Arabidopsis thaliana: one gene and its partner. The protein of the gene in region 1 purifies or fractionates together with the protein of each later gene. This does not show direct contact. Each region holds a gene or a part of one and is shown on either strand. Other genes may lie near its edges.

Region 1 (3,754 bases):
GCAAGCGCCTAATGCAATGAAGAGGTACTTGAACTTTTTCTCTCCTTCCAACTCCACATAAGTTACTGTCCCTGGATTTACCTTCTCTAACATGTAAAGATAAGAAAATAACATCGTGTAGCTTCTTTCCGGAGTCCCTCGCACATCACTAACATGTAGCATTTTGCCTCTTAAGGCAGTGGAGTATGAACAATGCACCCCAAGTCTTCCTCTTACAATCGACATAATGTTTTTTGGAGTTGGGGTCTCTAAATTTCCGGGATAATCACAATGTAAAACCGATGCTATTAATCTTGGTGTGCCTCGCTGTATACTGTTGCTTGTAGTCTCAACACTCCGAGAGCATGTATGCATCTTTCTATGCACTCTAACACTCCAAAAATGAGATTTTTTAGTTCTCGCAACTCTTAGATACCAAGTACACCCTTTAGAAGCTTGGCGGCATCGTAGCATAAGTCTCAACGGGTCTGACTTAATAGTATAGACTCCAAAAACTTCTTTCTTTGCAGCTCTGTTAACCAATTCCCACACAGCCTCCCTTGAACAAAATTCTTGACCAATTTCAATACCCGTACCATCATCCCATTCTATAACCTGCGGAGTAACTTCTACACTTCGTGGAATATCGTGAATATCATCATAATCAATCCTATCATCCTCATCTTGTTCCTCAACAGAATTCACCGGCCTTTCCATCGGCCTTTCGATAGCCACGATCTCCGTACCTACTACATTCTCACAATCATTCACATCATTATCATATCCATCATGCACCATCTCACATACTTCATTTAAAACATCATCCTCTATTACATTTACACCAACTGAACTTCGACGCTCCGGTACAGAAATTTCCTCTCTCCTCTCAACTCCTATACCATTTAATTCCTCCACATGCAAAACAGGAATCCGACTCTCTTCATCAGATTCTGTTAAAAATATGAAGACATCCTCATCATTTACAATATATGTCTCTCTCCTAACTTTAGACAGATTGTAACTCAGTTTCAACTTGACAGAAGCTTCATCAATCGCAACCTTCTTCATGATCTTGTCAACTAACATCGAATAGCTAATCTTCTCCAAACTACTCGTCTTAAACGATATAACATATAGTGAATTTTTACCAATCCACTCATTCACTTCAGAATAGTATCCTCCAAAGTCAAAATGTACCTTAGTGTGGATCTTCTTCTTCATCGCTCCTGAAAATACAACCAGTTCAACTCCAATCAAACATTTTAATAGTTATACCACATGTACTCTTATCATACGTTGAAATCAATCTCTCGTCGCACTCGTCTCTACTGAACCTAATTCGTTACCTTTCAATTGATTTCCAATGTTAATACATACCTATTCGTTAAACTAATTGGTTAATCTAAACTTTGCAAACACAAACCCCCCAAATCTTTAATATGAAATCTCGGAATTCAAATTCAACTCACATTCAACCTACATTCCTTTGCTCATCACCTCAAATAACGTTTCGGCAACCTCTAATCGATTACTCTTTACTTTGCAAACCAATCATCAAACTATCAAATTGAATCGAGCTGGGAATTATATAGAATTCAAAATCCCAATCTAAAATCACAATGCACCAATGTCAAAGGAAATATGAGAAGAAACTGACCTAATTCGTGGCTTTTACGCCGGATTTCAAGTCGGCGGCATGAGGAAATCGATGGTGGCCGACGAAGAAGATGAACGTCGACCAAAGAAGAAGAACACGACGACGAAGAGGAGAATCTCCGAACTCGATTTTCTTTATTTAGCTTTTGAATTTCTTTTTCATTTTTTTAATCAACTCATTAAGGGTACAACTGGTATATCACATTTTCGGTGGCATTCAGATTAACTTATGGCAGTCCAGATCAGTTTTTTCAAAAAAGTGGCATAAGTGATAAAAGTCCCCCCCTGCGGTTTGGTTTCTTGTCCGCTCCAAAACTTGTGAGGGCATTTTAGTCATTACAACATGGGAACTGGATTTTTAAACTGGTGAATTCGTTAGCGTTTATGTGAATAATCATCCATCATCAGGAAAGATCCGAAGAAAAGCGACGCCGTTTTAAAGGAGATGGATAAACAACCGGCGACCAGTTGGAGTATCCATACCCGGCCGGAGATAATCGCCAAGTACGAGATCTTCGAGCGAGTCGGATCCGGAGCTTACGCCGACGTTTACAGAGCTCGCCGTCTCTCCGACGGTCTAATCGTCGCGCTCAAGGAGATTTTCGATTACCAATCTGCGTTCCGGGAGATTGACGCGCTCACCATCCTCAATGGATCTCCTAATGTAGTTGTTATGCACGAATACTTCTGGCGTGAGGAAGAGAACGCTGTGCTTGTGCTTGAGTTTCTTAGGTCGGATCTCGCTGCGGTGATCCGAGATGGTAAGAGGAAGAAGAAGGTAGAAGGAGGGGATGGATTCTCGGTTGGGGAGATTAAGAGATGGATGATTCAGATTTTAACCGGTGTTGATGCTTGTCATCGGAATTTGATTGTACATAGAGATTTGAAGCCTGGGAATATGTTGATTTCTGATGATGGAGTTCTTAAGCTTGCTGATTTTGGTCAGGTGAGATTATGATTGTTACTGATTGTGTTAGTTATTTCATTGTTTGATGCACAAATATGAGAAACCTCTGAATGAAAAATGCTTGGTTTGCTTGAAATTTGGAAGAGTTAGTGTAATCAAGTGGCTAGACCTTATCATTTAGTGTAATCTATGAGTTTCTAAATGTGTGTTGGCTTCTTGGTTCATATACAGGCTAGGATACTCATGGAGCATGATATTGTAGCTTCAGATGAAAACCAACAAGCTTACAAACTGGAAGACAAAGATGGAGAAACCAGCGAACCACCAGAAGTTATTCCTGATTATGAGAACTCACCTAGGCAAGGGTCTGATGGTCAGGAACGGGAAGCGATGAGTAAAGACGAGTACTTCCGACAGGTGGAAGAGCTCAAGGCTAAACAGGTTGTTAGAGATGATACTGATAAGGACTCGAATGTGCATGATGGAGACATATCTTGCCTTGCAACGTGCACTGTTAGTGAAATGGATGATGATCTCGGTAGGAACTCGTTTTCTTACGATGCTGACGAAGCAGTGGATGATACACAGGGTTTGATGACATCTTGTGTGGGAACCCGATGGTTTAGGCCACCAGAACTGCTCTATGGATCTACGATGTATGGGTTAGAGGTCGATCTATGGTCGCTTGGTTGTGTGTTTGCAGAACTCTTGTCTCTTGAGCCTTTGTTCCCAGGAATTTCAGATATTGATCAGATCAGCAGAGTGACCAATGTGCTGGGAAATTTAAATGAAGAGGTCTGGCCTGGTTGTGTTGATCTTCCAGACTACAAGTCAATCTCATTTGCTAAAGTAGAATCTCCTCTTGGTATTGAAGGATGCCTTCCCAACCATTCAGGGGATGTGATATCGCTGCTCAAGAAGCTTATCTGTTATGATCCAGCTAGTAGAGCTACTACTATGGAGATGCTGAATGACAAATATTTAAGTGAAGAGCCTCTTCCAGTTCCAGTTTCAGAGCTCTATGTGCCTCCGACAATGAGTGGACCAGATGAGGATTCTCCGAGAAAGTGGAATGATTACAGAGAAATGGATTCAGATTCAGATTTTGATGGCTTTGGACCCATGAATGTAAAGCCTACCAGTAGTGGATTTACAATAGAATTCCCCTGACCTTGGCATTTAAGGTACGCAGTCAAAAGCTCTGGCTCGCTT
Region 2 (3,754 bases), on another chromosome or scaffold:
TATCCCTAGTCGATTAACAGCTTTACGAGTGATGGATGAGCTTCTTTCAGAAATTCCTGAAATCAGCAGTAAGACCGAAGAAATCAAGCAGTTATGGAATGGACAACACAACAAGATGATGATCGAAGAGCCATGGCTGGGTGAAAGCACTGTTCCAAGCTGTCTTGAAAACATTAGAAGAGACGACATGGAGATAGTTCTTTTGGGCACTGGTTCCTCCCAACCCTCAAAATACCGAAATGTCACGGCAATTTACATCGACCTATTCTCTAGAGGCAGTATTCTCTTGGATTGTGGGGAAGGTACCTTAGGCCAGCTTAAACGAAGATATGGTTTAGAAGGAGCTGATGAAGCAGTCAGAAACTTGAGATGTATATGGATCTCTCACATCCATGCTGATCACCATACGGGTCTTGCAAGAATCCTTGCTCGCAGACGTGAGCTTTTGAAAGGATTGGCTCATGAGCCAGCAATTGTGGTTGGACCGAGATCGCTTAAGAACTTTCTCGATGCATATCAAAGACTTGAGGATTTAGATATGGAGTTTCTCGACTGCAGGAACACCACAACAACATCTTGGGCTTCTGTAGAAACCAGCCGCCCTGAGAAAAATACCAGTAGCGGCAATGCAGAGGGTTCTTTGTTCAGTAAAGGAAGTCTAATGCAGAGTATATATAAAAGACCGAGCAGCCCACTGACAGACAATTCTTCAGCTTTACCATTCTTGAAGAAACTGAAAAAAGTCCTCGGCGAAATGGGGTTGGAGCATTTGATTAGCTTTCCTGTTGTGCATTGCCCTCAAGCCTTTGGGGTTTCGTTAAAAGCAGCAGAAAGAAAAAACATTGCCGGAGATGAGATTCCGGGGTGGAAAATGGTTTACTCGGGAGACACAAGGCCTTGTCCTGAGATGGTTGAAGCTTCAAAAGGAGCAACAGTTCTTATACATGAGGTGCTTTTCTATATAAGCAAAACTGTGTAAAACATTTACATCTCATTCTTAAAATTTACCATCTTTTCAAACTTATAACAGGCGACGTTTGAGGATGCGTTGGTAGAAGAAGCTGTGGCTAAAAACCATAGCACAACTAAAGAAGCAATCAAAGTTGGATCTTCAGCAGGTGTATACCGAACCGTACTGACACATTTTAGCCAGAGATACCCAAAGATCCCGGTGATTGACGAATCACATATGCACAATACATGCATTGCCTTTGATATGATGAGTATAAACATGGCGGATTTACATGTGCTTCCAAAGATTTTACCTTACTTCAAAACTCTATTCAGAAACCAAGTGGTTGAAGAAGAAGAAGAAGAAGAAGAGACTGATGATGATAGCTTAATACGTGACAAAGTCCCAAGCTTTTTCATCAATTAGTATATAGATTAGAATGTTCTGTTTTGTCCCCTGTTTTTGACTGTGTTGTATTGTCTTTAGAAATAATATCAATTTAATTGATTTTTCCTGTGAGTGTGACAGAGGAAATAAATCAGTTTCATGTGCATAATGTGAATTGTGAAAAAGAAATTAAAAAAAATCGGAACTTTGGGAAATAAGGAAAGACACCGAAGAACACACAACCATTCCTCTTTATTGACCGCTTCCTTCTTTCTCTGTCACATACGAATCGGTGAGTTTTTTTCTTCTCAATTTCTCCGTTCTCTGCTGATTTCTCCGAGGTTATTGATTCGATTCCGCTTGACGCATGATTGTGTTGTCTCAAGGGTCTAATTTTACCTCCGCGTTGATTGGTTTATAGGGGAAATTTGGATCCCGATCGTGATCTTTAGTTTGGTGAATTTGAGCTGGAATTGGAGCTTAAAGGATCGGTTTTTTGACTGATCTAATTGTTTTGAGGATCGGTCTTTCATAAAGTTGTTGTCTTTGAAGCTTTTTTGACTGGTGAGGACGAAAAAGTTGTGATTTTGGGAATTAGGGTTGTTTTGTTTCGAATTCGCCATGGATACGAGCAGGAGAGCTGTGGAATCGTATTGGAGGTCGCGGATGATAGATGCGGTTACGTCTGATGAGGACAAAGTTGCGCCTGTGTACAAATTGGAAGAGATCTGTGACCTCCTTCGTTCTTCTCATGTCAGCATCGTCAAGGAGTTTTCTGAATTCATTTTGAAACGTCTTGATAACAAAAGCCCCATTGTTAAGCAGAAGGTATTTTCAATTACGTTTGTTTTCTGTTTTTGATTGTGAAATGTTGTTCCTTTGTGAGACATTTGTTTTCCATGAAGATTTTGATTGAAATGTTTGCATGTCGGGATTGATTTAGATTGTAGGTAGATGTTTGTTTTTTCTTAGAATGGATCAAAGAGAAAGCTTTATGTGTTTGATTATAGCGTAGAGTTTGTTTATAGGGAGACGTAGAATGGATCTTATTGTGGCTAAAAGCTCTGTAGGAACTGGTTATACTGATTTTGGTTATTATATGTATATACAGGCTCTTAGGTTGATAAAGTATGCTGTGGGAAAGTCTGGCTCAGAGTTTAGACGAGAAATGCAAAGGAATTCGGTTGCAGTGCGCAATCTATTCCATTACAAGGGGCATCCAGATCCTTTAAAAGGAGATGCACTTAATAAGGCTGTACGGGAAACTGCTCATGAAACAATTTCTGCTATATTCTCAGAAGAGAATGGTACTAAACCAGCTGCTCCTGAAAGCATCAACAGACGCATTGAAGGATTCGGGAATACTAACTTTCAGGTGCCCTCTAATGATAATAAATCGTTCCTTAGTGAGGTGGTGGGTATTGGAAGTGCATCTATAAAGCAAGGAATCAGTAATTTTGCTCAAGGCCATTTGCCAAAGAAGAATGAGAATGGCAGCAGCAGCTACAGAGGTCCAAATCTCCACAGATCATTAACTATGGAAAATGAGAACTTCAGTAGATATGATCCAGTTAAGCTGGGGAAGGATGGTAACTACGGAACGTCTAAGAACACGACTGGTGGATCTTGGGGCCACGCTTCCGGAGAAGCAAGTGAAAGTTCTGCTTCAGTTCGTGTTGAGAGCAAAACTCGTGAGGAAAAGCTGCTGGAAACCATTGTTACATCTGGTGGTGTACGCCTGCAGCCAACTCGTGATGCTCTTCATGTTTTCATTTTAGAGGCTGCAAAAATGGACGCTGTTGCTTTAAGCATTGCTCTTGACGGGAAGCTCCATTCTCCAATGTGGCAGGTATGTTTATGATTATTTCCTAGTCACCTCCTTGTGAAACTGTTTGATGCTACTAATGTACTTTTTTCTTGATTATATCATCTGTATTTTCTTTTCCCTGGCTTGTTTCTTCTGTAGCGTTAATCTTCCCACTTTTGTACTTTGAAAGTAACTGTGTTTTTCTGTTTGGCAGGTTCGGATGAAAGCTTTATGTGTCCTTGAGGCCATTTTGAGGAAGAAGGAAGATGAGAATTTTTCAATTGTACATACCTATTTTAGTGAAAACTTGGATGCCATACAGCGGTGCGCAGAGTCTCCACAATCTTCCCTTCGAGAAAAGGCGAACAAGGTAAGCTTCTGCTTGTTATAACCATTCACAAAACTCTTTTTTGGCATTATGCTAATTTGTTGGTTAACTCGAGATACCGATGTTGTGTAGGTTCTGAGCCTTCTAAATGGTGGACAGTCAAGTGGGTTGATGAGCAGCTCTGATAATACTGTGAAGCGAGAGGCTGCTGTTGATTTACCTGACTTGATTGACACCGGTGATTCAGACGATACTTTGAACAATCTGAATGCTATAGATA

The links. Proteins that work in one complex are often made in the same cells at the same time.
Region 2: the proteins of CAK1AT (region 1) and AT3G16270 purify together in Arabidopsis thaliana (affinity purification with mass spectrometry, with the first as the bait; one study listed by BioGRID). This does not show direct contact.

What each region holds. Positions count from the first base shown.
Region 1 is NC_003075.7:14,286,391-14,290,144, forward strand, and holds the start of CAK1AT (CDK-activating kinase 1AT), read left to right. Parts: upstream 1-2,006; 5' UTR 2,007-2,080; coding exon 2,081-2,581; intron 2,582-2,773; coding exon 2,774-3,712; 3' UTR 3,713-3,726; exon of another isoform or gene 3,727-3,754. UniProt on the Arabidopsis thaliana protein: CDK-activating kinase that modulates CDKD-2 and CDKD-3 activities by phosphorylation of the T-loop. Activates CDKD-2 C-terminal domain (CTD) kinase activity. Activates CDKA-1 probably by phosphorylation.
Region 2 is NC_003074.8:5,511,741-5,515,494, forward strand, and holds the start of AT3G16270 (ENTH/VHS family protein), read left to right. Parts: upstream 1-1,532; 5' UTR 1,533-1,631; exon of another isoform or gene 1,632-1,760; 5' UTR 1,761-1,960; coding exon 1,961-2,167; intron 2,168-2,450; coding exon 2,451-3,188; intron 3,189-3,360; coding exon 3,361-3,516; intron 3,517-3,606; coding exon 3,607-3,754. Other genes in the region: TRZ4 (tRNAse Z4), read left to right, coding at 1-949, 1,031-1,378. UniProt on the Arabidopsis thaliana protein: Mediates clathrin-dependent trafficking of vacuolar cargo from the trans-Golgi network (TGN). Promotes plant growth.